Linked DNA regions of Arabidopsis thaliana. The protein of the gene in region 1 interacts with the protein of each later gene in a pairwise test. Each region holds a gene or a part of one and is shown on either strand. Other genes may lie near its edges.

Region 1 (8,307 bases):
TGCAGAGCTTGATGCACCAGACCACCAACGATTGGTTTCTCCAGAAAGATAAGCATCATCCCTGACACTAAATTCCCCTGGAACTGAACTGTAGACAACTTTCTCTGATTCAGCCTCTGGTTTAACCTTCACATGAACAGTTTTATTATCCTGAAAACTGCATGAATAATTATTAGGCCGGTCAAGGTCACTATCAGCTAAATGACTGTCAAAACTGTTGTAGGGTTTGACACAGGCAGGAGAAACTGAAGGATTACTTTCAAACTTGAAACTGATCCCTCTTGCACTAGAAAAATCAATAGGAGGTTTCCTTTCTAAAGATCCATTATCCACTCTTCCATGTCTATCAAAAATCATCCGGCTGGCACCATCCGACTGAGACTCACTTACTCCACTCTCAACATCATTTACAGCTTCTTCTTTATTAGGAAAGAACTCAAACGCGAAATTCTGAACAGAATTGGGGGTATGGTCTGACAAGGATGTACCACTTGTATTGTAGCAATCTTGTGCAGAAGAGACATAGTTATCCGCACTGTCACTGAGGGAATTGGAATTATTAAAAAAAACAGACATGGCAGACGAATTATGATTGGCTCCCAACCCCACTCCGTATCCAGTCACGTTGTCAAAATATGGAGTCAACATAGCTGCAATTTGATGTAACAAAAAATGAGGAATATGGAAATTAGCAACAGATAGATTAGTGTCAAACTTTTAAAAAAAAAAATAACCTGACATTTAGTAGATAAGGTGCATACATTTGGAATCGATTATCTTATCATCCTGCTTGGAAACAGTGTCAACGTCACAATTCACAGGATTGAAGGCCATCATATTGCCATCAGGATCAGAGAAACTAGACGATATACTACAACTAGTCATCTCAGATTGAGATACTCCACATGTTTCCACAGGCTGCTCACCCTGACTTAACGAAAACCAATCTTTAAGACTTGCAGAGCAAGTATGAGCAGGTGAAGGACTCAGCCCGGCTTCCATTTTCACATGTTCATCAAATGAACCTGGCACAACAAAAAAAATCCAAGCGATGTTAATACGATGTACCTCAAACAGCTCAATAAATACTAAATGACTATGTAACAAGGCACCCTTTCCAACAACTACTAACCATTTAGCAACTGTGAATCCTTGAGCTCGTCAGCAGATGAACCAACTGGTGATAAGTTTTCTTGGCTACCCTAAAAGTAGTCACTCTCAATGTTAGTTTCTTCTCTATCGAAAAAAATAGTCAATTAGAGATTAGTGTAGCTACAGAATTGTGAAATCACACATACATAAACTTTATAACAAAATACAAATCCAAACATCTTTGTAGCAGCATTCAAATAATGCAATGAAATTCAGCTAAATCAAAACGATGAAATTGAAGTTAGAGAAGCGTGTAATCAAAATTCTCAAGCTACCACAAAAGCCGAGAAAACTACCTCAGCAGAATCAGGCTTCTCATCTAGAATCCGATAAAGCGTTTCGATGTCAATAGTCTCGTCATCATCTTCAAACTCAAAACCACCATCACAATCATCAACCGGAAATTCACCTCCCAGACCAAACATTGAACCTTCCTCACCCATCAAAAATCACAAAAAAAAAAAAAAAAAACTAACCCGAGAAAGAACGAGAAGAGGAACAAACCCTAAATCAGAAAACCCAAAAGTCACGGAATTTCAGCTCCCGGGAAACCCAAATCGAAATTCAGAAGTAGACGCGTAGATCCAGAGATTGTAGAATTTTCAGGTACGACGAAGAAGAAGGCTTGAGAATTGGGTTTTGAAGGAATTTTCGAGGAAAGGTAGAGAGCAGTTGGGATAGAGAAAATAAAAATCGCGACTTTTTGTAGCGACGGTGGCTTCTTTTTATTGCCTTGTTCTCTCTTTTGGCTTTCTCCGAATTGGAAAAAGTAAACACCACAAGGCTATGGGACTTCCGGCTTTAAATAAGGAACGGTCGAACATTTGTTTTTCTTTTTCTTTCATTTTTTTCCATTTTTTCATTATTTAATAATGCATGATTATATATAATTATATTTTATGCGCCGTCATCTTTATTGTTAAAGCAAAATCACAATTTAAACAAAAGGAAACAACTTTAATTAGTAGTAGGAAACTGAAGTGTTTAAGTAATGGAGATTTTTTTGAAGTGTTTGCTAATCATAATTTATTGTAAAAATTATTTTTAATTGTGTGAAAATTAGATTTTCTACACTAACAAAAAAATTTCATATGTTAAAGAAAACAAATATGAAACTAAATCACAAAGATCAATTGGAATTAGACATGTGGATCGACTCATTAGAAAAATAATCATCTCAATCAATAAGAAGAGATAAAACATATATTTGACTAAATGATCTTACCAATCTTGTGGTCATAAAATTCTACAAAGCACTATATTGCTAATTTCTACAAAGCACATTTGTAATCTTCTGAATCATTTGTTAGCCCTAAAAGAAGACTAGTATTATACGAGATCACCATTTTTATGATTGATCAAATATCTTGTAGAGCGCAAAACTTTGTAGGTAGTTTGATGAGAAAGAGCTTGCTTATTATGTGATCAACAATTCCGTTCTTGCCATGTCTCAAAGTAGTTGCTTGCCATATTAATTGATATGAAGAGCCTTTGATTTTGCAGAGATAGGAATTGCCAAAAGAAACCATATGAGGATTGACTCGAGAAGTTTTAGTGTAACTTCTTCACTAAGTCCTTCCAAACCAGTTGGGAAAAATAATATTAAAGAATAAGTGGTCCATTGATTCTTAGTCGGTCAACTAGCTAGAAGACCTCAAATTCTGCAATCGATCCTTTGTCTTATTGTGGTTCCACACAAACAACCATGTGCAAAGAACAAAACATGTTTTGGGACTTTAGTTTGAAGATGCAATTAAACATATTGTTAGATTGTTGACCAAGAAAAAACATATTGTTGAGATTGAAAGATATATTTTGCATCGGACTGCAAAATGTTTATGTCACATATTTGTTACCTAATAGTTGATTTTAATAGAGTATAATAGAGTATCAGTTATTGGTTTTAAATTGTGTATCAAATTCCAAATAATATAGAGATTTTTAACATCAGTCTTATTTAATTATGATTTTAACCAAGTGTCGTTAGCTCAATTGGTAAAGACCTTATGCAAAGCTTAGAGGTCGCCGGTTCGAGTGACGCTTGGGACGAAACTAATATTTTATGCTGTGGTTTCAGGCCTGGGGGATTACGGACTTTGACCCACAACCTCCAAGATTTAAAAAAAAAAATAAAAAAAAATTATGATTTTAAATCGAAATTTTGTTCTTCAAAGGTAAAATAGTTTAAAAATCTTTGGGTATTAAAATCATTTGGAAATGAGTTACATAATACTATCCGGTATATAAAGAACCAAATCCAAAAACAAACCGGTTCCCTTAATAATTTAAACCGGATTATTCATCGACGGTTCGTCAACATCCTAATAATTTAAACCCGATCTCTTCTTCTCTATCGAAAACCTCCAACTTTTTTTTGTTTTATCAGATTGTAAATTTAGGGAAGAGACTTTCGCAAGCAATCTAGAAGCAAATCGATCGCCAAATCTCCGGATTATTTGCAAGAATCGTTCCCAGATAATCTTCCCCAGATTCTCCACTTCTCCAGGTACATCGTTATATTCAATTTTTGAGGAAAATAGTCGCACACTCTCTCTTTCTTAGAACTACCACTCCTGTGCTGTTTTGAGATTAAAGCTTGAATTTTGACTAAAGCCCTAAATTACTTTGTATCACTATCTGATCACAAAGTCAATTTCTTTTGGAAATAGCTCTGATCGGAGTGTTGCTCGAACAGGTATTAATTTCGTATTGAGTGGATTAGATTAGATTTCAAGATATGAGAGCCTCACTGGCGTTCTAATGTCACTGTTTCGTATTTTTATCAATCAGCTTGAAGAAGACGACGAAGATATGGTAATTTTGACTCCTCTTATGAGTCTGTTCTTTGTGTTATTTGATACAACTTGATGATGGGTTTTTGGAAAACTTTAATCTTTATGCACGTTGTGTGACCTAGTTTTAATCGTGGCTTGTCGCAGGCTACTTCGAAGAAAATGATCACACGTGAAGAATGGGAGAAGAAACTAAATGCTGTGAAGCTTAGGAAAGAAGATATGAATACTTTGGTGATGAATTTTCTTGTGACTGAAGGATATGTTGAAGCTGCTGAGAAATTCCAAAGGGAGTCTGGAACCAAACGTATCCTTTTTCTGATTCTGGTTTTGAGTTTTTGTTTATGGAATTGGTGTGTTTGATGTTTAGCTTATCTACTCCTTTTGAACTTCCTTATCGAGAAACAGCAGAGATAGATCTTGCGACCATTACTGATCGAATGGCTGTTAAAAAGGCTGTTCAAAACGGAAATGTCGAGGATGCGATTGAAAAAGTTAATGATTTGAATCCTGAGGTACAATGCTTCTTCATATCTTGTGTGGAGAGTAGTCATTCACTTTTCTGATGTAATAAAGAAGCAAAATCTGATTCTTCTTTGAACCCATGCTTGCAGATACTAGACACGAATCCGGAGCTCTTTTTTCATCTTCAGCAGCAAAGGTTGATAGAATTAATTCGACAAGGGAAGACAGAAGAGGCCTTAGAGTTTGCTCAGGAGGAACTTGCACCACGTGGCGAAGAAAACGTAAGTCTTTGTATTTCACTTTGATTTCTGTCGTTAAAGATGGTGTTTTCCATGTGTATTGCTCATTGACTGTGTGTAATATCTGTTGTTGCTGAAACTTCATTCATACAGTCTGTTATATCTCTCTGCAGCAAGCGTTTCTGGAAGAATTGGAAAAAACTGTAGCCCTACTTGTTTTTGACGATGCCTCTACCTGCCCGGTTAAAGAGCTTCTTGATCTTTCCCACCGTCTTAAGACAGCAAGTGAAGTAAATGCAGCGATTCTTACAAGCCAGAGCCACGAAAAAGGTAGCTTTTGAATTTTGATGTTATACTGGTTGTCTTTTAGTAGCCACAAAATACCATTATAATCTCGAGCATCATTCATTATCAATCTTAAGATTCAAAGTATATGCAACTCTTCTCTACATAACAAGTAAAATTTTTCATTCATTACTTCACCCACAACATGTATCATCCAAGTTCTTCTTGAAACTTTCCATTTTCCTCCATGGTTAATGTAGCAACTCAATGTTTGTGAACAAACAGATCCTAAACTTCCAAGCTTGTTGAAGATGTTGATTTGGGCTCAAACTCAACTGGACGAGAAAGCAGTGTATCCGCACATTAATGATTTGTCTACCGGTAAGCTCGAAGACCCGTCAGAATGATTCCGTACTTCTTTCAGCCATTGGAAATCAGTAGCAAAAAGGAACAATGAATGGTGCTCTCTTCTCTTCCCGTCAATCTCAATAACTTACAATTCATATGCTTTCTGCTTTTCCTTTTCTTCTGCATCGGGATTTGTTGGACCCGCAATCGTTAGGATATGGGGAGGGGAACATAAGCTTTTGTAGGCAATGAATTACTCTAGTCAAATGTTCTTATTATCAACATATTTGATGACTCATTGCATACGTGCATTTGATTTGAATGAAGTTATCGACTTTGTTTGGATCTTTGTGTTTGTTTTGAGGAATATTTTTGTTCCAAAAGGTTCGAATTGTAAACAAGAGAGATGGCTTATTCATCCCATGTATAGTTACATGAATCAATGAATCAACTTGGCACGGTTCCTACTTACCTAGAAAGCAACATGACCTATTGAATTGAGTGCTGTTACCGTCGAAATGGAGAATCTCTGCGAACCGTACTGAAACATCATTTGATTTTTCTTCTTCTTCGCAAAATATTATTTTGGTACTGACACAGCTTTGAATCTTGCATGACATGGTACGAAGTAAATAAAGGGAAGTAGTAATAGCAACTTTTTGATATATAAAATAGGAAACATAATCCACAAGACTCAAGACCTTATGTTGACTCTAGCCATCTCAATCTTGCATGATATGGTCTTCCGGATCATAGGATTTGGAGGGTTTGCTCTCCACCTCATCTTCGGATGCGGGTCGGCCCAAATTGCTTTGTCCGCAGTCAACATCTGCAAACTCCTCAGACACGAGCGGCACCTTTTCCTTGATGCTTCTAAGTTTGGCCTCTACCTTCTCAGCTTCATCAACTACATCTGACACATAATTAAGGATCCATCCGCAGTTCGCTGCACATACCCCTTCCTGCAACTCCTCGCGTAGCCCTTCCTGGAACAGACACGCCAGCTGCTCTTCCTCCAACTCTCTTCCGAGGTTCTTGACCTTCTTAAGGAACTCGTTATAATACTCACGCACTGTCTCTGTTCCTTGCTTCACCTCAAAGGCTTCCCAGCTCAAGGCAATGTTGACGTCAACCAGCTTAGACTCATCGAAGGCTCCGCGCTCAGAAGCTTCTCGGGGTGGCTGATCCTCCTCCCCAACTACCCCTGTGAGCTCAAAGTTTTTTGGTTCACCAGATGTCTTGATCGACCTGGTCTGCCTGCGGGTCAATAATTCATCGAGTTTTATACATTTAATAATTTGTTACAAAATATGAAAACAAGGATAGTTTTCAGTTAGAAAAACAATTTATTATCTTAGAAAATCATGACTATGCTAAATCTAATATATTTAAATAAAAAACTTTACATCAAAATTCTAACAAATTATCAAATATTATGGATTTGAGGGAGTATAAATTATCATTATAATTCAACAAAATTAAAACTGAATTTTGCGAAAACATAATTTATATGAAACTCGAGTATAAAAATGATGACTCGAAATGGATCAAATAGAATAAAGCAATCGTAATGTCGAATAGTGGAAAAGAGATTTATATCTTATTTTATTTTGTCTGAAAAAGATCTATCTTCACCTATTTTTATTGAACTTTAAATATTTTAAGCAAAAATAAAATTGATTCAATTTGATATAAAATGAGCAAAGACCTTTTGATCATGATCCTTTACAAGATTTTCATTTCATGCTTTATCATTACAGAAAAAAAAAATCTAACAAACTAATCTGAAAGCTAAAAGATTGAAAATAATATAGTTTCTTAATATATTTTATCAAAATCATTAATAGATATTGTGAAATAGATAATAGAAAATTGAGAATATCTAAGGAACTTACAAATTGATATTACTTCTTCCATTAGTCATTGTGGAGAATGAAGAAATAAAAAAAATGGGAAATGAAGCTCTTAAAGTGAGTCTAACCAAATGATGTACTTTTATTAACTCCCAAAATGGGATATCATTGATTTATGTTCTATAAATAAAAAATTAACCTGATTCATTTTTCTTATATAATAATTGATTAAGACATACGCTGGCAAAATTTTTTTTTTTTATGTCCGCTCGCAAATCAAAAAAATATGGAAATACAATAAATTTTAATTATAATAAATTAGCTTTTATTTTCTTTTCATAATTTCTAATAAATATCTCATATACCCAATTTACAGTATCGTATTTTGTATTAAATAAGTTTGAGTTAAAATTGAATCATTATGAAAATCTAATTAGAATATATATATATATATATATATATATATATATATATGTGTGTGTGTGTGTATGTATAGTACTGGTACATAATATTAATGTTTTGTAACAATTTCGGTTTCTAGTTTCTAAAATATGGTAAATTATCAAAATCGATTAATTATGATATTTTCACAATTATATTTTTCTAATATTGTAAATTTGTTCCCAAATTTTTTTTTTTTTAAAGTCCCAAAGATAGAAAGTTATTATTATAATTCCAAATTTAAAATAAATTTTAAATTTAATATGGAGATTGACTCTTGTAGTCTTTTGACTTGTTCATTAATATGTTCCCGAAATAGTTTTATATGGTATACAAAATTAAATAATTGTATAAAAGGTAAATCTAAATTTAAGTTACGTCAGATTTGATCTTTTATGTGATAGAGATGTGTTCCAAATAGTTCTTTTAATTGATTTGAACACTTTCTTTGGTACCAAAACAAGAAACATCATAGGGTTTGCGTACTCATTGGTATTAATGAAACTGACCCACACACATGTTTTTGGATCATCACTAATTTAACTGTCTCATAAGCTTTGTCACACACACACACACAGAGACTTATATAGTGATGCATTCATTGATATCATTCGGCATCATACCTGTTCTTTCATTCCATAAAGATAAAAAAAGGTAAAAGAGAAATGTGATTTTGTATTTGAGATTGATTTGTATGTAAGTATTTATGAGTGAGAGAAAATAGTGGATTCT
Region 2 (7,636 bases), on another chromosome or scaffold:
CTATATATATTAATCGGTTTGTAAAGTTAACAAAATCACTCTGCTCAATTGGTTAAGTAATCTTTGAATAGTTCAATATGCCATGCGTTCAAATCTATTTTCCAACATTATTTTGCGTTTTTGTTTAAAGGCTCAAAACAACGTAGTTTTAATAACCTATATATAAACATACGGTTTGCAAAATCTATACACGTCTAAGAGATATACTATAGGTGACTTTTGAGATCGCAGACCTGCATTTATTTAACTTACATGATTGAGTTACAAAAAAAATTACTTAGAGAATTTTTTGGCACAAAATCCAATTTTTATAACTAATTGAACCTTAAAATAATAATAAGTAAAAGCCGTTTTTTTTGTTAAAAGAAGGCTCAAAACGACGTAATTTTAATAATCATGTACAGATTTATATGATTTGCAAAATCTATACACGTGCAAGAGTTATATTGCGAACGACTTTTAATATCACAGTATTAATCTACGTTTGTTTGACATAAATAATTAAGTTGCAAAAAAATATTATTTGTGTTTTTTTTATGAAGCCCAATATTTTATTTAATTGGGCCTAACATAATAATAAGGGAAGCCCAATAATTTGTAGCAAATATTCTAGGGTTAGAATATTCTTCAACAGAATTAGGGTTACATGTGCGGACTCTATATAAATCTTTTTTGCCTCCTACGAATCACAAGTAATAAGAAAACAATGGAGCAAACTTTTATTATGATCAAGCCTGACGGCGTCCAGAGAGGACTCGTAAGCTTCCCTTTTCTCTTAATACATACTTGTTGATCTTGATCTGATTTTGGTTTTGTATTCAGTTCTTTGGATTGTTTATACTTAAAAGATCGATATGTTTGTGTTTTTTTCTTTCAGATCGGTGAAGTCATCTGCAGGTTTGAGAAGAAGGGTTTCACTTTGAAAGGTAATGATTTCGATTACCAAACTTGATTTTACATTATAATTAGAGGTCTTAGATCTAATTAAAGTCACTTTGTTACTTGAATTGAGATTGTAATGACACTATAGTTGCTTATGGTTTGGTCTAGTTTCTGAACACTAATAGTTTAGTAAAACTTGTTTGACTTGACAAGTATTCTGTGTTGTCTAATAGATTTTAGATTATAGTATCTGTGCATAAGAACTTGTTATTATCTGGACCTTTTGTATTATGTAATTTGGTAGATAAGAGTGTTAGTCTTGTGTTTCTGATCAGTGTAGATTTGTATTTTATACAGGTCTGAAGTTGATCAGTGTAGAGAGATCTTTTGCTGAGAAGCACTACGAAGACTTATCTTCAAAGTCTTTCTTCAGTGGACTCGTTGACTACATTGTATCCGGCCCTGTTGTTGCTATGATCTGGGAAGGAAAGAATGTTGTCTTGACCGGAAGAAAGATCATTGGAGCTACCAACCCAGCAGCTTCTGAGCCTGGAACTATCCGTGGGGACTTTGCTATTGACATTGGCAGGAACGTGATCCATGGTAGTGACTCTGTCGAGAGTGCAAGAAAGGAGATTGCTTTGTGGTTCCCTGATGGACCTGTCAACTGGCAGAGCAGCGTTCACCCTTGGGTCTATGAAACTTGATGATCTGTTGCTTTTTCAGTAGTGTGTTTTCGACATTGCTTGTCTTTTGAACAAGACTTCTATATTTAAGTTGAGTTTGATTATCCTTCTCTACTTTGCTTGCTTGCTACATATGAATACAACAGCTACCAACTGGTGATATAAAATATATCAGTTATTGCAGATACTGAACCAAAATTGACTCTTACCAATGGTTAGATCAAACCTATTTAGTAAACACAAGATCATACTTCTTGTAACCTTGTGTTTCATGAACACATAATGTTGTCAATCTCTTAGATGCTCTCGAAAACTGCGACGTTCGACAAAGTGGCAAGCTTAAGTTGTCTAGTAAGCCATTGTCCAAGTTTGAGGCTGACACCAACTTGAAGGGGGCATACTAGGAGAGAGTGATAAGAAAAGTTTTGAGTATTTGTCTACTGAATTTCAAGCTTACTGATGAACATTGGCAAGCTAAATTTAAATAACTAAATTTTACAATTTTGGTTCTTCAAACTTTAGAGAAGAAAAGAATCCAACGGTCAGGTTCAACTCCAACCCGTCTGTTTCAATCATCTATTTTGACCGCTTATTGTAGCTGCCTGTAACAGTTCAAACCCAGCCACTGTCAACAATCAAAGCCAAGTTTGTTTCCAAAGATGGACACAGCTAAGTAGTCTTTTTTGTCCTCTTCCAATTGTTGGTTCTAAGAAGTCGGTTAAGCGAGAACGCTTCTCCTTGACCATCGTTAAGCGACCGCAGTTCCAGACAGCAAGCTGTTAGTTGTCGGAGAAGTGTCTCTAGATGAGAATGCGATTGATTTTTGCCCTTTGGTTTTGTAGATAAAATCGCAGCATTCACTGTGTCTGCCACTACTTCCCTTTGAGTCTCTTCTAGGAAATACCCTACATTCGATTCTTCGGGGCGTTCGTACACTAGCAAAGCAAAGCAGTCCTGAAATAGATAACAAGATGCTCGAATCTCTTGTCTTTGAAACCACTAAATATTGAAAAAAATTCCAAAACACCACCACTAGTTTAAGGTTGCAGAACCATCATTACCTCTAAAATGTCTTGGAATGTAGTTAAACCAATGAATTTGGCTAATTCCATTCGTCCATATTTCACAGCCTCTTCTAGTGCTCCAATCTAAGTATGTCACATTTTAGTATTTATTTACTTAGAGAGAGGTCAGTCTAACCGCAGTGGATCTGATTAATATATAAGGAATGAAGAGCATACCCGTACTAATTCAATGAACTTTTGACAGTGAAGGAGGAAGCATACTTCTGATTTATCGTTCTGCAGATTATACAATTGAGGTAAGAGTTCATATTTTCAATGTAACAATATGAATCAACTGATATGATTAGTTCCTCAATCCACCTGTACAAGTTGGGGATAGCTATCTCGGAGTTTCGCAAGAGCAGCATCGATCTCACCCTTCCGTATAAGCTTTACCAACCGACGTATGGATCAGTTCAATACTTAACGAAAGAGATGTAGTAGTAGTAACGAGCAAGATAGCAGTCTAATTCAATACCTGTCTAAGAATTTTTCTCTCATGCAATGCATATGATGTATCATCAATACCATTTTCTTGAGCTCCATTGATAGGAGGAAGTGTACTGTTAGTAGCCAAGTCTAAAGCATGATGAGTCTCTTCATACCCATAATGAAGCAAATAGTTCTTTACAAGCCTGATGATCAAAAAAAACCAGAAGCTTCTTAGCTACGCAGAAATTTTATTACCAATGCAATAAAAGAATAGAAGAAAAAACTTCACCTCAGTAACTACAGAACAAGAGTGTACTCACCCAAGACTCATGTTCGATGGTATGGATATCTTTTCGATTGCTATTTGTTGCTTATTCCTCTCCGATGATTCATATCCCTAACACAACAGAAAAAAAGAGGAACAGCTAAATCATACGTAATCACTCCTGTAACCTTAACCTCAAACAAACCTAAGGCAGAAAGAGAAGCACAAGTAAACACATATTACTCTCTACCTCAACTTTCTACACATATTACACATACAATTCTTAATCGTAGAGTCTAAGAGAAGATGTTTAATCACTGTATTTTTTTACAGTGAATCATCTGCCACATTATATGTTTGTACCATATCAAAAAGATGCATATGTTTCTTTACTATACGATAGTTATACTTCGGACTATCCCATCGATAAATTACACAAGCTAAGAGCTAGAAACTCCACTAGTATACCAAAAATATTCAAGGATCTTACCTTAAAATCAAAGGCAAACTTCTCCTGCCCGAAGTTGACTGTAACCCTACCAAGATTCAGAACATCAAACAAAGAACATATTCAAGCACTTGAAAAATAGTTCACGCTGACATCATATTAAGAAACAAAGAGAGCATACTCTTCGTTTTGGCTATGTACAGCTACAGTAGGGAATAGAGGACCCTTGATGTACTTGGAGACTGTCCCTACCAGAGTTCCATTTACACTGGCATCTCATAACAAAGATATGTCAGAACTGTAACATGAAAATGAATTGACTCTTGAACTCTTAGATACTCACGTGAAAAAGAATTCCTGCGAATCATAGTTTATACCACCACCAACAGTATCACCAGTTGTATAAGTCGGACCAAAAGCTTCACCTTGACGTTTTCCTAGATATATAAGCCCATCTTCACCATGATAACCACAAGTGTTGAGTTCCCATCTAACCATTACATAAGAAATATCACAAAACTATCAATTTGAATGCTCAGCAACAATGATATAGAAACAAAATCCAACACTTTCGTATGTTCTGATCCTAACCAAACATAAATAAAACTCACACAATTGAACCAAATCCTGAACCTAATCAAACTTAAAACAACTAAACAAAAATAAGAGATCTTTAAGAACCTAATCAAATCTAAACAAAACTCAATATCATACCCAGGATGTCTCGCGATTCTGAAACTATTAGTAGTGAAACCAATGGAGACACGTCCTTTAACACCAGCATCTTTAACATAAATCTCGAAGTAATAAGCGAAACGTTTACACGGAGCAGGTTTATTAGCTTGAACAACGCCGACATCGTGACCGTGTTGAGAAACGCCAGTGTATTTGAGAGATAGCTTATCGGGAGAGATAACTACAAAACCGCTTAAACCGGTGATCGTGTTTAACTCCGTCGGTGATTCTTCTTCTTCTTCGTTATCTTCCATTGTATGTGGTTTTGCAGAGTGATGAAATTTGTGAATGAAGTTGGATTTGTTCATTCAAATCGCAGAGAAGATAATTGAAACCCTAGAATTTTGCTGATTGGTGATTGATTATAGAGAAACAAAATTGTTGAGCGAATATTTTTTATTTTTTTCAAATGATCTCTTACAAAACCATGTGATTTCGGTTCGGTTTTTATTTGAATTATTCGGTTTTTAAAAATTTGGTTTCTTAGTACTGGTATCCAAATTATGGATGGTTTAGTATGGTTTTATTTTGGTTCGGTATTGAATGTTTATCTACAATATCCTTAATTTTTAAAGAAATTTCGGTTTTAAACCATTTTTCTTTGTTTGATTTGATTTTGGATCGACTTTTCAAATCAAGTATCTCGATTCATTTACGGTCGGTTTATTGGCAACAACTTAACATTAAAAAAAGCTAAGAGTTCAAATGGTTACGCGGTTAGGACGGACAAATCTATCAACGGTTTAGACTGCTTTTTGTTTAGGAAAATTGCACAATCTATACTTGGAAGAGTTGTTATTTAAGTGTCCAAAAAAATCACTGTTTGACTAATATTGTACATGTGGAAATTGCGTATGTACCCCTAGGAAAATCTTTTTATACTGTATGAATATATTGTGTCAGATTATTATTATTCTTTGCATGTAGTCTTTTTTCTTTTTTGCTATTTATTTATTGATTTTTAGGGAAACCAGTCGTCATCGTCATTTCTCTTTCTAAATGGAAAGTTGTATCCCTTCTTTCCCTTATTAAAACACAGTCCAAAAGATAAAAGTTAATGTAACATTTGTATTAGGTGCTAACTCTAATTCATAACAAAAGTGAAACTATCTCAAATCACCATAAACTTATGATATTAGCCGGTAATCCAAGTATTAACATACCAGTTTGTATTAGGTGGTAACTTTGATGCAAAACTTATGAATTCAAATTTTTAATACCTCTAAGGGTATTATCACTATATGTAAACAGGTATTAGCCGTTAACAAAATGTTAACGTAACAGTTGTATTAGGTGCTAACTCTAATTCATAACAAAAGTGAAACTATCTGTAATCACAAGGAACTTATGATATTAGCCGATAACCCAAGTATTAACATATCAGTTTGTATAAGGTAGTAACTCTGATGCAAAACTTATGAGGGTATTATCACTATATGTAAACAAATATTAGCCGTTAACAAAAAGTTAACGTAACATTTATATTAGGTGCTAACTCTAATTCATAACAAAAGTGAAACCATCTGTTCAAACCCTCCTAGTCCAAAAACAGTCTCATCCTTCCATCTTGAACCGTCAAAAAAACTTTTCCTCGTCGCTTACTTACCGCCCTGCAACACATTAATTTTTTGATTAGCAGTCATTTTCCTTTTTTATCAGATAACATTTACTTTATCGACTCTACTTTCTTCATACACCATCAACAAATGTAATATGTAAACATTTTTTTACCCTGCTAATTCGTATATTATCATGATATTTTCAAAATTATCGATAATCCAAAGTTATCAGCGACATCTTCTTTCCTGTTTTCAAAACCATGGTAAAAGTTTTGTTATCGACTGTTTTTTTCAAAAAAATGATAAGGAGCTATATATATATATATATATATATATATAGGTACACACCTAAGACTTAAATGCTTTGTGTCTCTTTCTTATAGGTACAATATATCTCGCGGAAGAAGGCTACTGATTCTTTGTTTGTATAGGGGCAATTATGTCATATTTAATTTACAAGAAAATTTCCACCTAAATAACTAAATGATATGTGTAGATCCTTAATTATATATTCTTCCATGTATAGATATTTCATTCACCCTTTTGTTTATCATTCATAAACTATAATCCGCAGTAGTGCGAATTAAAAAAAAAAAAAGTTTGCGGTGTACTAACTACAGATAACTTTTACGTAGAATTTTTTTTATCCGCATGCGATTTATCGTCCGCTCTAAAAATAAAGTGGTTTTGTCTGTTAGCGATTTAGTGTGCTTTTTTCATTGCATCCATTGAAACCAAAATAGAATACAATAGACTAAGGCCTTGAATGTTTTGTAGATTTTGTAAGAGTTTTTAGATTTTGTTTTTCAAAAACTTATTTTTATACCAATCAAGATTATAAAATTTTGGTTTCCCTACAATTTAGAAAAACTATTTTGTTGTAGTTTTTGATTCATGATTTTAATTTTATAGTTTTCCTAAAACTTAGGGAATCTAGTTTTTACTCCATCAACGTTATTTTTCTCAAAAACTAAAAACCAATTTTTTGGGGTTTTTAAAACAAAAATATAATAACAAAAATCTAAAACTAAAATCTAAAATCTAGAAACTAAAATCTAAATCCAAAAACTGAATCGAAAATCAGCATCCATTCAGGGTCTAAACCAAAAATAAATCATCGAATCATAAATAATTTTTAGTTTTGATGGATTTTTGAGAAAAAAAATATTTAAAAATATTATTAATCTTGAATTTTACAAAAGAAACTTGAAGTCTAAAAATATTATTAATCTTGTAAGGACTGTCAAATGCTTTTAAAGTCTTAACAGTCCAATGTCAATCACCCCCTAAATAAATACTAGTGGTCATAGAAGTAGGAACCACTTTCCCCTATCTCCATTTTTGTATGAATCCATGATTCCATATTCACGTCCATGTTGTATACCCTATTTAAGTATAAAAATAAGAAGATAATCACATAATTTTTCTACCAAAAGACTATTGTTCTTATCAATTTCCATATCCTTGTTTTTCATTTTGTATCAGAACAAAAATTCGTACAATGACTACGAATAACAAGGACACACTTGATCAACTTAAAGTAAGCTTTGACGACGTCCAAGAGA

Evidence for each region. The genes of interacting proteins can lie anywhere in the genome.
Region 2: the proteins of AT1G61150 (region 1) and AT4G09340 interact in a two-hybrid assay, tested with the Arabidopsis thaliana proteins (one large-scale study listed by BioGRID).

The regions. Positions count from the first base shown.
Region 1 is NC_003070.9:22,539,016-22,547,322, forward strand, and holds AT1G61150 (LisH and RanBPM domains containing protein), read left to right. Parts: upstream 1-3,481; 5' UTR 3,482-3,658; exon of another isoform or gene 3,659-3,847; 5' UTR 3,848-3,912; coding exon 3,913-3,966; intron 3,967-4,091; coding exon 4,092-4,251; exon of another isoform or gene 4,252-4,288; coding exon of another isoform or gene 4,289-4,352; coding exon 4,353-4,459; intron 4,460-4,558; coding exon 4,559-4,690; intron 4,691-4,821; coding exon 4,822-4,978; intron 4,979-5,218; coding exon 5,219-5,340; 3' UTR 5,341-6,003; coding exon of another isoform or gene 6,004-6,538; 3' UTR 6,539-6,646; downstream 6,647-8,307. Other genes in the region: EDA16 (SNF2 domain-containing protein / helicase domain-containing protein / zinc finger protein-like protein), read right to left, coding at 1-650, 762-1,025, 1,133-1,202, 1,449-1,595; AT1G61160 (retrotransposon gag), read right to left, coding at 6,004-6,538, 7,177-7,205.
Region 2 is NC_003075.7:5,922,778-5,930,413, forward strand, and holds AT4G09340 (SPla/RYanodine receptor (SPRY) domain-containing protein), read right to left. Parts: upstream 4,962-7,636; 5' UTR 4,821-4,961; coding exon 4,492-4,820; intron 4,268-4,491; coding exon 4,121-4,267; intron 4,046-4,120; coding exon 3,959-4,045; intron 3,866-3,958; coding exon 3,820-3,865; intron 3,462-3,819; coding exon 3,385-3,461; intron 3,268-3,384; coding exon 3,111-3,267; intron 3,023-3,110; coding exon 2,954-3,022; intron 2,870-2,953; coding exon 2,810-2,869; intron 2,717-2,809; coding exon 2,630-2,716; intron 2,523-2,629; coding exon 2,238-2,522; 3' UTR 1,825-2,237; downstream 1-1,824. Other genes in the region: NDPK1 (nucleoside diphosphate kinase), read left to right, coding at 707-757, 878-926, 1,240-1,589.